Linked DNA regions of Mus musculus. The protein of the gene in region 1 purifies or fractionates together with the protein of each later gene. This does not show direct contact. Links are inferred from orthologs where the notes say so. Each region holds a gene or a part of one and is shown in the gene's direction. Other genes may lie near its edges. The genes, in order: Cep43, Cep350, Ppp2cb, Cep78 and Ppp2r3c.

The links.
Region 2: the proteins of Cep43 (region 1) and Cep350 purify together in Homo sapiens (affinity purification with mass spectrometry; 6 studies listed by BioGRID and IntAct, counting the BioPlex papers as one, with this or other methods). This does not show direct contact. The link is inferred for Mus musculus from reciprocal best matches to the Homo sapiens genes CEP43 and CEP350.
Region 3: the proteins of Cep43 (region 1) and Ppp2cb purify together in Homo sapiens (affinity purification with mass spectrometry; 4 studies listed by BioGRID and IntAct, counting the BioPlex papers as one, with this or other methods). This does not show direct contact. The link is inferred for Mus musculus from reciprocal best matches to the Homo sapiens genes CEP43 and PPP2CB.
Region 4: the proteins of Cep43 (region 1) and Cep78 purify together in Homo sapiens (affinity purification with mass spectrometry; 3 studies listed by BioGRID and IntAct, with this or other methods). This does not show direct contact. The link is inferred for Mus musculus from reciprocal best matches to the Homo sapiens genes CEP43 and CEP78.
Region 5: the proteins of Cep43 (region 1) and Ppp2r3c purify together in Homo sapiens (affinity purification with mass spectrometry; 3 studies listed by BioGRID and IntAct, counting the BioPlex papers as one, with this or other methods). This does not show direct contact. The link is inferred for Mus musculus from reciprocal best matches to the Homo sapiens genes CEP43 and PPP2R3C.

The regions. Positions count from the first base shown.
Region 1 is NC_000083.6:8,164,339-8,168,332, forward strand, and holds the start of Cep43 (FGFR1 oncogene partner), read left to right. Parts: upstream 1-1,179; 5' UTR 1,180-1,258; coding exon 1,259-1,360; intron 1,361-1,585; coding exon 1,586-1,639; intron 1,640-3,994. UniProt on the Homo sapiens protein: Required for anchoring microtubules to the centrosomes. Required for ciliation.
Region 2 is NC_000067.6:155,858,253-155,861,767, reverse strand, and holds part of Cep350 (centrosome-associated protein 350), read left to right. Parts: coding exon 1-120; intron 121-927; coding exon 928-1,332; intron 1,333-1,452; coding exon 1,453-1,599; intron 1,600-3,515. UniProt on the Homo sapiens protein: Plays an essential role in centriole growth by stabilizing a procentriolar seed composed of at least, SASS6 and CPAP. Required for anchoring microtubules to the centrosomes and for the integrity of the microtubule network.
Region 3 is NC_000074.6:33,616,608-33,620,306, forward strand, and holds the end of Ppp2cb (serine/threonine-protein phosphatase 2A catalytic subunit beta isoform), read left to right. Parts: intron 1-419; coding exon 420-538; intron 539-2,514; coding exon 2,515-2,587; 3' UTR 2,588-3,197; downstream 3,198-3,699.
Region 4 is NC_000085.6:15,982,185-15,986,346, reverse strand, and holds the start of Cep78 (centrosomal protein of 78 kDa), read left to right. Parts: upstream 1-1,357; 5' UTR 1,358-1,466; coding exon 1,467-1,734; exon of another isoform or gene 1,735-1,837; intron 1,838-4,162. UniProt on the Homo sapiens protein: Centriole wall protein that localizes to mature centrioles and regulates centriole and cilia biogenesis. Involved in centrosome duplication: required for efficient PLK4 centrosomal localization and PLK4-induced overduplication of centrioles.
Region 5 is NC_000078.6:55,289,500-55,293,014, reverse strand, and holds part of Ppp2r3c (serine/threonine-protein phosphatase 2A regulatory subunit B'' subunit gamma), read left to right. Parts: intron 1-300; exon of another isoform or gene 301-440; coding exon 441-511; intron 512-3,222; coding exon 3,223-3,355; intron 3,356-3,515. UniProt on the Homo sapiens protein: May regulate MCM3AP phosphorylation through phosphatase recruitment. May act as a negative regulator of ABCB1 expression and function through the dephosphorylation of ABCB1 by TFPI2/PPP2R3C complex.

The DNA.
Region 1 (3,994 bases):
CCGATCTACAGATCAGCTAATGCCTCAAGCCCGTCATTCTCCACAGTAGTGTGTCATCTGCATTGGACCAGCCTCCCAACCCCCATTCCTGGTTCCTTCTGCCAACTACACCAGTGCTGCTTTCACTGCACACAGACGAGTTTCTTCCTTTACTGGAGCACTCTCCCCTTCATCTGGCCCTAGCTTGAAGTTTGCACACTACAAGGACTCCTCTTAGTTTTTCCTGATCTATTAAACCCATTTCCTTTCCTGTGCCCCGATTGTAATTAGACTGCCAGCATGGGAAGTACTCTTTGCTCCCTCTTAACCAATGTCCTCAGTGTTCGGTGTGACCCTTCTAACCCCCTAACTGTTCTCCTTAAGGCCAGGCTTAAAAATTAACCTCTCAATGGTTCCTTTCTTGGAAGATGTAGGAAAACAAACAAAAAAACCACTCTTCTAGTTTCTCTCATAAAAAGCAGCACAGAAAGCGTTTAACTTTATTCCTACGTGAATATGCATTCATACTGCACAGGCCACTTGCGTGGTTGGAAATGAGTCCACAACCCTTTTACAGACCGGTATGGGGAAACTTTGTGAAGTTCCAAGCCAACACGTTTGAAGCTTCCCATGTATGAGGCAGCCTGGAATTTCCTCTCCTGGCCGATTGCTCTTTCAAAAGAATAAGAGCAAGGTTCCAGAGACAGCAGACCCCGCCGCCGAGCAAAACCGGCTTAAGCTGAGCGAGTATACACGCACAGAGGCGAGAATAGAATGCCTACTTGCTGCTCACGCTTAGAAACAACCCCTTGGAAGGCCCCGCCCCGCAGTTTACTCCGCCCACTTGGAGTCTCCGCTCCGCAGTTCCTCTTGTCCCTCCCTCCCAGAGCCTCTCCCCCCGACACCGCCATCTAAGCGGGTCGAGCCAGTAAGTTCAGCCAAAGTGGACTCTTCTCTCGCACAGGAATGGGGAAATTAAGTGCAATTTAGTGAAATTTCTAATATAATTCTGTTAATATGCCACAGAGCGCGTCACCAGAGCCTGACCCGGTCACCAGAGCCTGACCCCGCCCCGTGTCCATGGCTCCGCCCATAAACGACACGCTGAGACCTCGCCCCTCGCGTCATGAAACCCAAACACCGGCCTGAAGGCCCCACCCCGTAGGTCTTCTTCCCCGCGTGAGGGGCGGGGCTGCGACTGCGCGCTCGCGGGCCGGGTGGCTTCCGCGGCGGCCGTTGGCCGTTAGCGCGGCTTGGGTGGTTGTCTTGGAGAAGCAAGATGGCGGCGACTACCGCCGCGGTGGTGGCCGAGGAAGACACGGAGCTGCGCGACCTGCTGGTGCAGACGCTGGAGAACAGCGGCGTGCTGAACCGCATCAAGGTGCGGCGGGGCGGCCGCCGGGGCTCGGGGCTGCGCGGGACGCCGGCACGAGGCGGCCACGCGGCCGTGGGGCCTTGGCCCGAGTTCGTGGGCCGGGTGTGGAGCGCACAGGCCCGTCGCCTTCCATCGCTCGCTGCCCGCGCGGCCGGCACCCTCGTGTCTGCCCCCGTTCTTTCAGGTTGCGAAACTGACTTATAATCTTGTGGTTTTTTTTTTTTTTTGAAGGCTGAACTCAGAGCGGCTGTGTTTTTAGCACTAGAAGAACAAGAAAAAGTAGAGGTAAGAGATCCCCAGACCTTGTTCATGCCGTACCTCTTAATGCCCGGTTTCTAATAAATGAAAAGCCGTCCTGAAATAGTTCAGTAACTAACCGGGGATGCTTCTGAACGGCTAAGGATTGGGCTTTTACCAATACTCATTTTCTAAATCATTTTGCACGTTTAGAGTGGCCTTAAAGTAGCACAGGAATTTCGGGAGACAGTAGTAGCTAAGGCTCAGGTGCAGGAGTCACGTGAAAGCGGTTCGTTGAGTTACCGGAAGTATTACTTTGAAATTTTTATAAGCTAGTACACTTCAAATGTCTTGGCAGTAAGGAATGCACACTGGAACCTTTTCCCAAATTCTGATTGGTTGGTTAAAAATCTGACCATTACTTTAAAAACATCTCTGATCTTATCCCCCCACCCCCCAAAAAAGAAATCTAGTGAGACCTGAATGTTTAATAACTTGGCTTTTCTGCCTACCCCAGGCCCCAGCAACCATCCTGAGTAAATGTCCTGTAACTCCTTGTCAGTAAGAATCACAGGAGAATCAAAGTCTTACTGTGTGACAGATCTGCCTCCATCCTTCCACGGCTGTGGCCCTGTTTAACCTACCTGCTCTTAACTTTCTCCTCTTCATCCTTACTGGTTGGTTCTTGGCCAGGCTGGGTCCCATTGTCCACCCTTGGGAGTCTCATGTTTCTTTGCTTTCTAGTTAAACAGTAATTATCATTTGATCCAGTGAATTATTTTCTTAACCTGTTTCTGCATAAGCATTGCCAAAGAAAAGTCACTTAGCCAGGTGACTGTGTGAGTTCCGTAGTGGTGGGTTGTAACTGAGCAGGGTCTGGGGTTCTCCCGTCTGGTCCCCTTTAGCTTTCTTACCTGATCCTTCACTCACAGGAACAAGAGAAGCTCCTGGGTCCTAACTTGTGCCCTGTTGCTGCTATCCCAGTCTGTCAGTTCAGGAAGGTTACCTGTATCCGTCTAGCTGTACTCCTACTTTCAGAGAAGAGGCTCGGTCTTGCCAATATAATTTGTTTGGTTTTGTCTGCTATGTATTCTCATCTCCTTAGTTAAATACTGTGTCTTTGATTTCTTTTCTGCTGGCTCTTTTGAGCACAAAAATGTTTAATTGCTCTTAAAATCGTTTTATTCTTGATTTTCTCCTGCTTTAACAGGCAAAGTTTGAACTGTACATCTCATGATGTTTTTTATTACGAGGTATCCCTTGCTCCATTAAACATTTAAACACAGTACTGCTATACCCGAAACGTCTCTTGCTACATTCTAGAAGGTTCCTCCACTTGAGTATGCTTCAGCTGTCACCCAGCTCGCCTGGCTGTTGCACCATCTAACAGTGACCCCTCTTTCATTTTTGGAAATGTTTTGACCTTGGGAACCTTTTTCTAAGTGTTTTCCTTTTGCCTAGTCCTTGGTTTCTTTTAAGATCTCCTCCCTGCGTACCATACTTCAGTTGTCGGTGTCCTGCCCCAGTGCTTAGTCTGCAGCTTCCCCAAGGCAACCTTAACACCACTGGTAACTTTGTCACGTGTCTGGTGCACAGCTCCCGTTCCGAGCTTCAGACCTGCGTGTTAGGTTAGGCCGTGTAACAGACTGATGTCCATGAGTTTTCCAGGCCTGCTCTGCCCTTGCTCTGTCATCTCCTGGCAGTGTCTGCCTGCCCTTCTTGGCTTAGTTACAGCTTTTCCAGAGTGACACTTGCTACTCCCCATCTGTCATGGGTGCCCTCATCCTATGTCTCAGGTCTTCAGCTGTCCTGGGTTGGCCATTTGTAGCACATGCCTGAATCTGTCCTTCTGGTCTCCTTGAGAGACCAGTTCGGTTAACTCAGCGTCCTAGAGTCTCTATACCATGTACTTCTGTGATTTTTCTCCCTCTTTAACTTAAGGTATAGTTGTTTCTGTAAATGCATACCTTAAAATGTCAGATTTGATAAACTTTACTATTTATGGAATGTGAGGAACACAACCAAGAAAGAAAATCTAGGCACAACCCTTTGAGTTTGCCTTCCCCAACCTTCCCCAGCATCTCAGTTAGTTTCAAAGCCATGCAAATGGGAATGTGTAAAATTCACTTATGTCTGATAATCATCATAATGCTGTAGTGTATCTTATTATTCCACTTAGTCCTGTTTTCAGGAATGGTAGATTGTTGCATTAGTCACTGAGTGGATAGTTTTATTTGCTTAGCCACTTACGCTTTGATACCACATTTGGGTTGTCCCTGTTTTTCACTTGTGGATAATGCTGCTGTGAATGGTCATGTCCAGATCTTTGCTGGGATCTGGGATTTATCTTTAGAAAATATTTGAGGGTGGAATGACTAGCTCACCTGCTGGAGATAATATTAA
Region 2 (3,515 bases), on another chromosome or scaffold:
CCCCAAGACCTACCCCAAAATACTGAAGAACAATCACCCAGTGTTCCAAGTTGCTTTTTAAGGTCTGAATTGGAAGATGAAAAAGAAGAGATTTCTTCTCCTGATATGTGTCCCAGACCTGTGAGTATTTATCTAGAGAAGAGTCTGATTGCCTTCCTTTGTAGCATCCACTAGTTCTGTTTGGGATGACATTTCCCCAGCCTGCTGCTTATTAAATACTATTTTTAGAGGACTTGTAGCTGTTTTTCCATCTGAGGTATAATTGCCCTCTGTTATGTCATGAGTAGTCACCATAGGGTTGTCATGAACACTGTCAGGTTGTAGAAACTGAAACTTCTTTTAAACTACTCTGTTGATGGCCCCTATATACAGTCCACATGTTATATCTCTTTCCACATTCCTTGGAACTTCCCAGTGGTTCTCAGCCCAGGTCTCTTTCACTCGTCTATTCAGTAATGGTTCCCTACAGAGATTAGCAGTTGTGGTGATGATTCTGATAAAACTGAAACAGAGCCTCTATGACATAGACTCAGACTGTCAGCTGTGTAGGTTGCCCATGGATAACTAAGGAAAGGGATGATTTTGATTAACTTGAGCCAGATAATCACCAAAGGTAAGGCTTTTCATTTCCCATGTCAGAATCCTAGTGATAGTCCTTCAGAAATAGAATGATTCATGATATGTAAAAGGAAAAAAAAAACTAATGAATAAATATTTTATTATAAAATTTAATGACTAGGTTTATATAAGCAAAAGAGTGGAAAGAAGATAGATTTTTCTTATTCATCAGTGACCATTATATTGTAATTTTGCATTTCTTACAGAGATATTAAAACACGTAAGTAATAGGTGTGCATTATCTTTCAAAAGCTGTTAGGTAAGGCAAAGTCACTAAATGGTCCTTTATTTGAATGTTTATTTCTATAGGAGAGCCCAGTGTTTGGTGCCAGTGGGCAGGAAGAGCTAGCTAAGAGACTTGCTGAACTTGAGATCAGCCGAGAGTTCCTGAGCGCATTAGATGATCAAGACTGGTTTGATGAAGATTTTGGTTTGAGCTCTTCTCACAAGATCCAAAAGAATAAGGCAGAAGAAACAATCGTACCTCTAATGGCAGAACCTAAGCGAGCACCCCAGAAGCCATGTGAGACATTATTGGCAGTTCCCCATACGGCAGAGGAAGTAGAAAGCCTTGTCCATAATGCAGCAGAGGAGCTTTGGAAATGGAAAGAGTTGGGTCAGGACCTTCATGGCCTCAGTCTTCCTACCACGTTCCTTGGTGGTGCCAGCAAAGGTCTAGACATAGGCAGCACAAGTAGAAGAGTCTACAAACAGGTAACAAAGCACCGCTGTTCTTCGCTTCCCACCCATTGTCTGAAATCTGGATTCTCGACCACTTTCTTACTGTCGTTTTGTTCTTTTTTTCCCCCTTTCTTTTCTTTTCTCTCTGTTAAGGCGGTTTTTGATTTAACAAAAGAGATTTTTGAGGAAATATTTGCTGAGGATCCCAACGTGAATCAGCCTGTCTGGATGAAGCCATGCAGAATCAATTCTAGTTATTTCCGACGTGTGAAAAATCCAAATAATCTTGATGAAATCAAGGTAAGTTGCAAACTCTATTATCTCTTTTGGTTTCCTTTGTATTTATACAGGTCTATAAGTGACATAGAAGTGGGCACTTGTCTATATATACATGAGTAGTTGTTCATGGAGTCAACAGTAATAGTATTGACTCCTGGCCTTTAGACACTGGGCAGTCAGGTCTTACATGCATGCTGGTGTAGTCTATCCCATATATTCATGTATTTTCTTCTGTCAGCAAGTTTTGTTGTTGTTTTTGTTGTGTGTTGTTTGAGATAGGGCCTATGCTGACTTTGAAGTCATAGTCCTTTGTCTTTGAGACTCCCAAGTGCTAAGATAACATCCTTGAGCCACCAGGCCTGGCTACAGAAGTCTCCTTTTCAGAGCAGTACTTCTCAGAGTTAATGTATGTACATAAAAATCATCTGGGGTGTTTAAAATGGAGCTTTTGAGAAAGGAGCCTGAAATTCTGCTCTCAAGTGTACAGTTAATACTGTCGATTCCAGGGTTATTCTTGAGCAATGAGGCTTAGGAGTTGAGTTTTTCAAACTTTCTTAATCCTAAAAAGTCTTCTAAAAAGATTTTATGTTTGCAGACACCAATTTATCTATAAGCTATGTTATGTGTGGTCAGAGGTTGGCAAACTATGAGCCATGGGCTTTATCTAGCCATAGCCTTTACCAATCAAGTACTGTTGGACCACAGGCAGACGTCCGTGTGCTTACCTTCTGCTGCAGTAGTACAGTTAGTAGACAGAAGGCAGATGGCGAAGACCATGTGGCCCACAGAGCCTGAGCTACTTACATTTGATCCTTCACAGAGACGTTTTCACAGTACACTGCACGTTTTATACCTTCCACTCATCCAAGTTAATACATCTCTTGAGTACATCATGTGCCTGTCTACAGACAGAGGAGTAGAATTGGGGCTCACATCAGCAGTTTGAGAATCTTGTCCAACGATTCTGATTTATAAATATATCTTTCTCCTCCACTGAGATCATTGTCTATTGAAATACCTTCAAAAGTAGTAAAAATAAATTGTTAATAACATAATAAGCTAAAATAAGACAAGACACCTAATATAAAGGCCATCATTAAACTGCATATCATATGTATATACATGAAGCATAGACTAGATACTGTATATCATATGTGTATACATGAAGCATAGAGTACACACTGCATACTCACTTTAGTATTAAGTTTTTAATATTTTTAACTTGAAATGGATTTTTAAGGATGGTTGATTAGACACCGTTAATAGTTAAAGTCCCATGCTACAGATGCAGTGGCACATGCCTACCATCTTGGCATACCTAAGCTGAGGCACGAGGATTACAATGAGTTTGAGGCCAGCCTGGGCCATACTCTATCTCAAAATAATACTCTATCTCAAAAACCAAAACAAGGCAGCAGAACTTTGCCATGCCTCCTCTTTCTGAAGCGTTGGCAGTGTTTTATGTAACGTTTGAGATGGAGGCGTGTGCTCTTCTAGTGTAGTATTCTCCTAACTGCTCATGTGGCCTTTCCAGGTCAGAGTTACATGTTAGGTTTTCTTCACCAGTTTCTCTGCTTTGAAGTTAGCAGTGACGTGCTGGAGAGAACTGAGCAGTTAAGCGTGTGTTCTACTCTTACAAAGGACCCAAGTTCAGTTCCCAGCACCCACCCATTTTGGGTGGCTCACAACAGACTGTAACTCCAACCCCAAGGAGTCCAGCACCCTCCTCTGGCCTCCTATGGGAATATGCTTATATGTGCACACATAAGCACATAAGTAAAGTGTTTATTTTTAAAAGAGCAGTGGTTCTTTTAAAAACTCAACTCTGAAGTGATTTCTCTTTAAAGATATACCATTGATTTCCTTTTATATGTTCTATATAAACAAACTTTTAGGTGACTGCAGTCTGAGTGTTTGAGATGCTTTCCCTCCACACT
Region 3 (3,699 bases), on another chromosome or scaffold:
AATACGAGTTTCAAGCAAACTTAGTAGCAAACTTTAGAAGCCAGGCTCATTTCTATCATGTCTCAGCACTTGGGAGGCTGGGGCAATTGCAAGTTTGAGAACAGGGTAGTCTAAATAGCAAAATTCTTTCTCAAAATAAAATAAAATACTTAGCAAAGTTTATGAAGGAAAATGGGGAAGTTACTATGGTTTTCTGAGAAATTCAGTGTATATTCTAAGTTAAAATCTTAAGTGTAGGTTAAGAAAAGCTGTATGGTTACTGAGGTATATAATAGAATCTTGTACCTAATAAATGTTTAAAAGTCTGAACAGTTGCATAAACTTAGATTATAAAAGGTAACATAGCCACCGAAGTATTTGTGACTTGATCTGTCAAAATTGGATTTTATAATGAAACAATGACCTTTTTAATGTTGCAGGGATATAACTGGTGCCATGATCGGAATGTGGTCACCATTTTTAGTGCGCCCAATTACTGCTACCGTTGTGGGAACCAGGCTGCTATCATGGAATTAGATGACACTTTAAAATATTCATTGTAAGTAACTTTACATTTTAATTGTATGTAATGACTTTTAGAGGAAAATAGCCTTGGGAGCTGGAGAGGTGGCTCAGCAGCTCAGAGCACTTAACTACAGTCTAGTATGACTTCCATAGATACCTGCACACATGTGTGCATACACTCATACACACATGCATGTATGAAAAGAGACAGGAAGCCGGGCGTGATGGCACATGCCTTTAATCCCAGCACTCAGGAGGCAGAGGCAAGAGGATTTCTGATTTCGAGGCCAGCCTGGTCTACAGAGTGAGTTCCAGGACAGCCAGGGCTATACAGAGAAACCCTGTCTCAAAAAACCAAAAAAAAAAAAAAAAAAAAAAGAGCTCTGCTTATGACAGGGGAGGAGGAGGAGTGTGCGTGCAGACCCTCTTCCCCAACATTGAACTCAAGAACTTTCTGATGTGCAGCACTCGTAAACCATGGCCTCCTGCATTGCTAGGCCACTGCTGCAGAAAGTGGGGTTTTTTTTGTTTTGTTTTTTTTCAAGACAAAGTTTCTCTTTGTAGCTCTGGCTGTCCTGGAACTCACTCTGTAGACCAGGCTGGCTCCAAATTCACAGAGATCCACCCGCCTCTGCCTACAGTTTATTGAAACTTTCCCAAGAGCTTACAGCTAATAGAAAAACATTTAAGAGAACCATAAGCCGGGTGTGGTGGTACAAGTTCTTAATCCTAGCACTCTGGAGGCAGAAGCAGAGATGGGTTTGAGCCAGTCTGGTGTATGCTCTACATGAATTTCAGGACAGCAAGGACTACAGACATACCCTATCTTAGAAAGACAAACAAGACTCAGACAAAAAGAGGAACTGTAACCGCCCGGGGGCCTAGGAAGTGCCTTGGTGGCCAGCACGGCTGACCTTCCACGGATACCATCTTCATTCCCAGCGCTTACACTGCAGCTCACAACCACCTCTAGTTTCAGTTCCAGGGATCTGACATACATGTAACTAAAAGTCACTTATTTGGGGCTGGAGAGATGGCTCAGAGGTTAAGAGCACTGACTGCTCTTCCAGAGGTCCTAAATTCAATTCCCAGCACATGGTGGCTCACAACCATCTGTAATGGGAATCTGATGCCACCTTCTGGGGTGTCTGAAGACAGCTACAGTGTACTCGTATACATAAACAAACCTTTTTAAAAATTGACTTATTTTAGGTTTAATAAAGCCTTTACTACTGGGCGTTACGGCCTTCTTGGTACTCTGTTTATCCTAGCATACACGAAATCCTGGGTTCAAGCCCATCATTGTAAACTGGCCATGGTGATGCACGTATGTAATCCCAGGACTTGGGAAATGGAAGCAGGTTGGTTTGAGTCAAGGCCAGCCTGGAATACATGAAACCTGGTTTCAGAAACATTTGTCAAATAAAACACTTGCTATGTATGCATGGTGCTACTTGCATGCCTGTAATCCCAGTACTGACAAGGTAGAGCCAGGGAGATCAGGATTTCACAGCCTGTGCTGCGAGTTTGGGGCCACTGTAGGCTATATGAAACCACATCTCAACTACAGCGGCAAAAAATTGGGAATACATCCTGACTCCTGTGAGTGTTTGCGTATTACTATGGTTAGTTGCATCCTTTCAGGACTGTTGGAGAAGGAAAACACAAATAGCATTTATTTATCCCAAGACCACAGTGTTGATAAAAAAAAATAGGAAAAAGTCAGTGTACTAACATTAATATTAAAACACACACACAACAGACAAATAGCTATTTTGACAGAAAAGGCACTTGGTAAAATTCAGTGTTCTCTTCTGCTGGGCACAAACAGACGTGTACATTTTCACCATAGCTGTGAAGTGCTAACTGTGTGGTTGCTAGTGACGAATGAGTTCAGGGTCATCCCAGCCACGTGGGATGCAGCGTTGCTGAAAGCTACAGGAAGGAGGCTCAGTCTGTTCCGTCTTACTGGCTGGCTTACTTGCTGACCATTTTCTTTGTCATTTTTAGTCTTCAGTTTGACCCAGCACCTCGTCGTGGAGAGCCTCATGTGACCCGGCGCACCCCAGACTACTTCCTGTAAATTCCTCCCCAGGACCTGTCTTTGTATGTGGAAGTATACCTGGCTTTTTAAAATATATATATATACATATATATTTAAAAACAACAGTTATTTGTGTTTCTGTAACAAATTGTGATATGTCTTGACATTAAAACACATCATGGACCAAAACGTGCCATACTAATGATGAGCGGTTAGCACAATGTGAACTCTAGCACACTGTTGTAGATGAGTCAGCCCACAGCCTGCCTGCTGGGCGGTAGTGACCATTTTTCTTGACTGGTTAAGCAAAAAGGGTCACTGACTGCTTCGTCTCCTTTGCGCTTACTTGGAAATTTAGTTAACAAGTTTAACTGGCATGGATTATAGAGTTGGAGTTTTATTTTTTAAGAATTCACAAGCTGACTTCCACTTCAATTCATAATCCTTTATTTTATTGAAATGTATGACTAACTGAAGAAGAGATTCTTGGGAGTATGTTGTCATAACATTAAAGAGATTTCCTTTAAAGTTTCCTAAACTAAATTACTGTTGGATGTTGAGCTGCATATTTCTGTATATTTGTCATGACAGTGCTTGCATCCTATTTGGTGTACTGAACAAATAAAATTTCCGATTTAGAGAAAAACATTTTTTAACTGTGATGTACATTAAATGGAAGCATCGCCATTTTGAAACTTTATACAAATACTTAGAACTGTGGCTGGTTGTTTTTTAGACTTTGAATCTCCTTGATACTCCTGGCTCTCCTTCCGAGGGATAGAATTGCCAGTATGGGGCTCCTTGCTAGGCCACAGATATCTGCTGAGTAATAACAGTAGGCAGCTGTACTGACATATTCGCCTGGTGGGGTGTTCACCCCAGGCCTTATATTCAATTCCAAGTTATGTGCACAGGTACTGCAGAAGTAATGTTTGTTTATAGTTTACACTCAAAAGCAGAACAAAGTCAAAATACTGATAACTGTTAGACCACTGAAAAGGCGATTGTTGCATATCTAAGCATTTCATTAGGTGGTTCATATTAATTTATTCATAATTTTAAGTGCAAAATGTAGATTGCTTTAATAACTATATTCTAAATCTAACAGAAGGGACTTTAAAAGCTGAGCTAGGTTGTCTCCTTTAACCTAA
Region 4 (4,162 bases), on another chromosome or scaffold:
ACCAATGACAGACTAAAAACAACAAACTTATGTTTTAAAAGAAGTGAATGAGGACACAAAAGACTTAACTGTGGACATTTAGCCTGTCATTCATAATGTCTCTTGAATATAGTATGCCTTATAAACAGAAAATCAAACTCATACCTCAGGAATTTATAAATGTGCTTTAAAGTATTTCAGAGAAATGGCTTAGCACTTAGGTGCACTTAACTGCCCTTCCAGAGGACTGGGTTCCATTCCCAGCACCTATGGTGGGTGGGTCACAAATGTCTCAAATGCCTATAACTTCAGGTCCAAGGCATCTGACGCCCCTTTCTGATATCCCTAAGCACTGTGTACACGTGTCACTCACACACACACACACACACACTGAATAAAAATATAAGCAAATCTTTTACAAATGTAACTGAAATGGTGGCTAGAGACAGCTCTTCTTTCAGAGGCTCTGAGTCTGGTTCCCAGCACCTACACTGACTGGCTCACTACCACCTGTAACACCAGTTCCAGAGGATCTGATGCCTTCTTCTGGTCACTCTGGACACTTGCACACAGATAGCATACAGGCACGTACCCATAAATAAATCCTTAAAAAGAATAAAACAGACTGATGTATTTATTACCCAGAGTTCACTTTGTTTCTGCTCAAAGTAATTCATTTTAATGCATAACTAAATAACATGACATAGGGAATAAAATAGCTCAACTTAACCACTGCTGAGTGAATCCCAAGTTCACTTTCCATAGCTATTATGCTCAATGTTACTAACTCTGTTAAAATCATTAATAATAAAACCGTAATGAAATTATGGTCTCTCTGTGATACAGGAGTCGTCTTCGAGTTTATTTAGAGTACTAACATTGAAAACTAGTAAGAGTTCGAGGCCAACCTAGTCTACAAAGTGAGTTCCAGGACAGCCAGGACTGTTATACAGAGAAACGTTGTCTCAAACAACACATAGAGAGATAGAGAGGGAGAGAAATATCCACCATCAATGGAGGATACTAAGCTAAACTCTAGCTTTGCCTAACCCAAAGAAGAGAGGAAGGAAGCCACCTGGTTTGCATACGTGTTGGGAAATTCTTCTTGTGACTTCTCTCGGTGAGGAAGCATAAACAGTTGAGCGCTTCTAACAGTCTTCTCGAGGCTAAACCCGCTTCTCAGTTCTCAGGTCAAGCCCGGTTCTCAGGTCGTCACTCCATTGCACCTCACTTTTGGTACCCAGAGGCGCGCTCACTGCAGAGCATCTACTCGCCTCCAGCTGATGGCGCGTTGGACGTAGCGAGCCCGGGTGGGCGTGGCCCGCGCTCTGACGCACAGCGAGCGCGCCGACGCATGCGCACGTCGCCCGCGGGAGCTCGCCGGTGACTAGAACGGCGGCGGCGGCTCCCAGAGCGGGCGCTAACCGCCCGAGGCGTGGCGGGAGGCGGCGCGGGGCGGCTGGTGGAGGTCCCCGGGGTTGCCGGTCATGATCGACTCGGTGAAGCTCCGGCGCGACTGCGCGGCCGACTTCTTCTCGCACTACGAGTACCTGTGCGCGCTGCAGGACTCCGTGCCGCTGCCCGCCGTGCGCGCCTGCCTGCGGGACGGCGTGCTGGACTTCAATGCCGACCGGCTGCGCGCGGTGGACTGGGCACCGCTGCTCAGCACGCTCAGGGTGAACCGCGACCTGCCGCTGGTGGCCATCAAGAGCTCCTTCCAGCCGTGGCTCGGGGAAACAGTTCTGCGGTCCGGAGGTGCGAGGGTTTGGTCGGAGAAGTGGGAGCCCGGTGCAGGATCAGCCTGCGAAGCGGCCTCCACCTAGCCACAAAGGAGTTTTTGCCGCCGCCTCCCTTGCAGGTTGCCGCCTCGGTCCGTTGTCTGGAGTAGTCAAGCTAGGGAGTAGAACTCGACACTGCCCCTTATTACAGCGAGGATGACCAACTCTGCACCCCGAGGGGAATATGCGTGATAATTTAGCAAATGGTCCCTGCCCTCTCTTCTTTTAGGGGTTTAAATGTACAATCTCCCTTCATTCGTAATTGCAAGTTTAATACAGAAAAGGAGAAGGTTAAAGATGGAAAGAAAAAAATGTATAACAAAAAAATAATCAGGGACGTCTTTTTTGATTTTTAGAAAAATATTTGAGGGTTTTGCCTTCGCGTGTGTATGTGCACTATGTGTGTGCAGTGCCTGCGGAGTACAGAAAAGGGGGTAAGAGGTCGGAGTCCATATGTGAACCACCATATGGATGCTGGGAACCGAACTCGCATCCTTTGCAAGAGCAGCAAGTATGTCCAACCATTGAGCCATCTCTCCAGCCCAAGGGACTATTATTATTTGTTTCTTTTATTTATTTATTTATTTATTTATTTATTTATTTATTTATTTATTTATTTATTTATTTGAGAGACAGGGTTTCTCTGTGTAGCCCTGGCTATCTTGGAACTCACTCTGTAGACCAGGCTGGCCTTGAACTCAGAGTCTGGCCTGCCTCTGCCTCTCGAGTGCTGGGATTGAAGGCGTGCGCCACCACTGCCCGACTGGAACTATTATTTTTGACGAACCCGTTGTAAAACAGTTGACTCTGGTTATTTGCAGATAACGTATTTACAAGTTCCTTTCATTTGAATTTTTGTAACTCCCAGCCAAGTCTTTGTGGTGCTTCTATGGTCATTCATGAACACCCGCCCAGAAGCCAAAAAAAAAAAATTACCATCCAATATATATGTTCCTTACTGATTTGCATATTTGTGTGTTTGTGTATCTTAGTATTGGCGTATGTGCACACTCAGAAACAAGAAAGGGGTGTTGGGTGTCCTTTGATGGCTCTTCACCCATTTTTTAAATTTATTTTTTATTTTATTTTATTTATTTATTTTTTGAGAGAGACAGGGTCTGTTTTCTTAGTTTGGCTGGAAGCCAATAAGCCCCAACTGCTCTCTTGACTCCGCCCCTTCCATGCTGGAGTTAGAAGTCCTGCTCCTGACGCCTGGTTTATGTGGGTTCTGGGATCACGGAACTCCAGTGCAGCAAATGCCCTTAACTACTGGGCCATCCTTCCAGCTGATTTTTCACACTCCGTTTTATTTTTAGATTTGCAAATAGTTGTTTGTGTGTTTATATGTATGTGGCATGTGTGTGCACACACGTGTACGTGGCATGTGTACACATACACACGTTGTGTGCATAGAGTCTAGAGGTTGGCCCTGAATGTCTTTCAGCTTTCCCATTTGTTTACTCAGGCAGGTTCTTCTCCCCTTCCTGCCCCGCCCCCCCCCCCAGGGGACTCACTGATTCCTTTGTCTGGCTAGCTAGTTTGCCCTAGGGATCATCTTTTGTTCCTTCACAGATTACATATAGGCTTTTACTTTGCTGGCCATCCAAGTTTGGGTCCTCAACATTTTTTCCTGCAAGTACCTTTATCAGTCTGGTCATCTCAGTTCCTAATTTCCTTCTCTATCTCTTTCTCTTTCCTCCTTTCTTCCTTCTTTCCTTTCTCTCCCCCCCCCCCACCCCTTTGCTTTTTTATTTTTAAGAGTGGTATCATGTAAGGAAAACCTGTGTTGTAGGCAACCTAAGGCCAGAGTTTCATATTTTAAATTTAAATTCTCACACATATAAAATCCATTGAAACAAGCCTGTTGTGGATTCTTTGGTTAAAGCGTGTTGTGTGTGCTAAGTGTCTGCAAGTTACTATTGGAAAGGGAAGGTGTGATGAGCTAGATTTGCTAGGGGCAGATTTGAAAGTCTGGCCCTTGACTGCCATAGTAATGGCCCAGATTTAAGGAACGATGAAAGAAGATGACTTAGAGTCAAGGCAGGCCTACCTGATCATGCTAGTATTTTATGTCTAGCATAAGGCATTCTTTGCAATATTTCCATGTCTCATATCCAGTGGGTATAGGCTGTGGGTGTTAGCCTCCTAGACACGACTTGTTTCTCTCTCTCAGCTGTTTTGACTGTACTATTGAAGAAGCTCCTGGCTGGCTTTGCTGTCTTGAACTCAGTTTCCCTCTGTGTAGATGGTCTCACTTAGCACAGAACCAGCACCTACTAACTGCAGTTTGTGCCTCCTTTACACTCTCGCCAGACCTGCTGGAAGGGGTGCTTTTCCTAACCTGTGTGGTTTAGGTGCCTCTCTGGTCATCCCTTTGTCTAATTGGTAATTGGTCCAACATTGAG
Region 5 (3,515 bases), on another chromosome or scaffold:
CCACAACTGTGGTGTTTTCAAGAAGCCTGTATTAACATATTTTGGAGTTGTTATGAATCTCCTAAGACTATGTGGTCTGCAGAATCTTACTGTGTACCGTTGATAATTAATACCTTAGCTGCAGTGATTAACCCCAGGAGGATACAGGCTTCACTGAAGACACAATGTAGTGCCAGCTCTCTCTGTTTGGTGGAACACCAATATCCCCAAGGGTATCCGTTTTACCGTCGTTGTAAACATGGCAGAACTGTTGAGATCTGCTGTTTCATGTCTTTTTCTTTTGGCTTAAATGTCTTCCAGGTCGCCGATTACTTATGTGTGTAAAATGGGGTTTTGTGGAGTTTTTGAATTGGCCTACACTTCTAGCGCCTTACTCTTTTGTTCATATATGTGCTAAAGAACAGATGTTAGTATTTACGTGCAATTTTCCCGTTTGTCAGTTTGGCTGCATCAGACAAGAATAGGACTCAGTTTATATGATGTTGCTGGCCAAGGATACCTTCGGGAATCAGTGAGTATTGACCTAAATTTAATAAACATTATAGACAACAGAATATTAACACTAATTACCACCAACTAGTTGTCATTGTAGCTAAGACTTACGTTGCTTGATTTTATCTTAATAAGTTTGGTTTGCCTGGTTTTGCCTTTGTAAACGTTTAACTTTAGTATATGTTAACCACGTAAATAGTCTTTTGGGTTCTTTTTTTTTTTTTCAGCCTTTAGAAAAATACTTTGATCTTTTTTCAAAGGAAAATGAAGCTGAGCATCCTAGCACATGTTTCTAATCCAGGCATTTTACAGCTGAGGCAGGAGGATTATTGGGAGTTCAGAGGTAGCTGAAGCTCCATGTAGAGTTCCAGACCAACCTGAGCTATATAACAAACTTTTTTTTTTTTTTGGTTTTTTTTTTTTTTTTTTGGTTTCTTGAGACAGAGTTCCTCTGTGTAGCCCTGGCTGTCCTGGAACTCACTCTGTAAATCAGGCTGGCCTCAAACTCAGAAATCCACCTGTCTCTTATAACAAACATTATTAATGAGTAAATAGAATGTATCTAAAACAGGTTTTAAAACTGATTAACAAGGTGGGCTGGAGAGATAGCTCAGCAGTTAAGAGTACTGTCTGCTCTTCTACAGGTCATGAGTTCAATTCCCAGCAACCACATGGTGGCTCACAACTATCTGTGGTTGTATCCGATGCTCTCTTCTGGTGTGTCAGTGATGAAATGCTCATATACACCAAATAAATCTTAATAAAAAAGCAAAACCAAGAAACGAATTGACGAGTGAAGTATGGTGCCACACACCTGTAATCCTAGCTTAGGAGGCCAGGATACAAGGACCACTGCAAGTTTGCAGCTAGCCTGCTCCAAATAGAGAGTGCCAAGGTGGTAGGGCTGTGTAATGAGACCTTGTCTTCAAGATCCAAAAGAAAAGAAAGGAATTACTGAAGAAAAAAAGGTTTTGTATGTGTGTTTGGCGTATGCAAGGGCAGACGTGGAGCCCTGAGGTTGAGTTGATTTCAGGAACCATCTTTATTTACTCTTTCTTCTTACTCGTTGAGGTGGGCTCTTTGAGTCAAACCTGGAGCTCGCTATATGGCTAGTTTGATAGCCAGCTTGCTCTGGGGATCCCTGGGTCGCTCTTCTAAGGCTGATGTTACAGGAGGATCACCAGCATGCTCTCATTTACGTAGGCTCTTGGATCTGACTCCAGTTCTTCCACTTGCATAGCAAGTGCAGTAACCACTGAGCCATCTCCCTAGCCAGCCCCTCTAGGGGCTAGAAAGAGAAGTAGTATGGCTCACACATGCCAGGGAACACGGGAAGGTTAAGGACAACTTCGTGTCCTTGGTTCTTTCTCCACCTGTCCATGGGTTTCAGGGCTCAGACTCAGGTCTTTGAGCTTGCACAGCAAGCTCTTCATCGCACCTCAGCAGCTCTTGGGTATTCTCATATGCGCAGTATTTTATTTTGGAAAAGACGAGGGAATTCCTTTTTTATAGAATAGAGGGGAAAAAATCTCATGTGGCTTTGTTTTTACCCACAGGTTTAGAGGGACATGGTAAGTTACCAGGAGGATATTTGTTTCCTATCAGGTGTGCATGTCATTAGGTCAGGTTATGATGGGATTGACACCTCTTGATCAAAATGGCTATGCTACTTCCATATTTTTGGCAACTATCTAAATTATGTAGGTATATTTTTTGGCTTATATTTTTCTCTCTAAAACGGAGCCCGCTTATAGAGCTCAAAGGAGAAAGGTATGTTGGGCATAAATGTCAGCCACTGAGTTAACTATTCAGAGGTGTTTAATCATCCTCTTGTCCTTCCCAAGGATAATGTAGAGTTCTTGTCCTTTAATGCAGATCAACATTGTAGTATAGACTCTTGTTCCTGCCGGTCTGTAAAAATGGGAGCCTGTGTGTCCAGAGTAAAAGCTAAGGTGGCAGGGAGGTCCAATAGACAGTGATCACATACTGAGCCTTTTATTAATCCCAAAGATCCCTTCAAAAGCTAAAAATACACATTTTGCACATCCTACCTTCACCTCTACCACACTGGGAGGGAAAGGAAGGAAGGAAGGAAGGAAGAACAAAGGAAAGAAAAGGGAGTGAAAAGGAAAGAAGAAAGGAAAACTGAAAGAAATCACAGGCCTTGCTGCTAGGTTGGATGTGTGGCATAGGGAATGGGACTCGGGGAAAGGAACTGAAGAAGTCAAAGCTGAGTCCGAAATTTTATTTTGATAATATAGAGTGGGGGAATGGGAGAGCCCATGAAGGCTCTGGGAAGAGATCATTTTAGATACCCGGTTTGAGTGCTTGTTCTTTTATGAATTTAGAGTCTCTGATCTGTCGGGCAAATGCTAAAATAGAGCGAAAATGAAATTGTTAAAATAAATACAAAACGCCACAGGAGACTCATATTTGCTAATTTGGGTTTTGTGAGTCAGAGTCTCACCTTGCAGCCTTTGTAGCCAGCCTGGACTTGAACTTGCAGTGATCCTTCTGCCTCTACCTCCTCCCAGGTATTGGGAATACAGGTGTGCCAGAGAGTTTAAATATAGTGACTTGCTGCCCTAATATGGTGTCTTTTGCTGTAATGAAATGCTCCAACCAGAGCAATCTTAAGAGAGAAAGGGTTTGATTGGGTTTGCAATTCTAGCTTCCCGTCTGTCCCCGTGGGAAGTCAGGGCAGACAGCTGACAACTTGCTTTGTCCCAGGACCTGGAGAACTACATCCTGGAGCTGATCCCGACGCTGCCACAGCTGGACGGGCTGGAGAAGTCCTTCTACTCCTTCTATGTCTGCACTGCAGTCAGGAAGTTCTTCTTCTTCTTGGACCCTCTAAGAACAGGTAAAAGCATTGTCTAATTTAAAAACTAGGATATTATTTGTTGATAGTGTCTTAGTACTAGACAAATTTGGACAATTTCTCTTTGTTTTTAAAGTTAGTGGCATAATCTGGCACATCTCGGAGAGTGGGCAAGTGTACAAGCCCACACACTTCCCTTTAT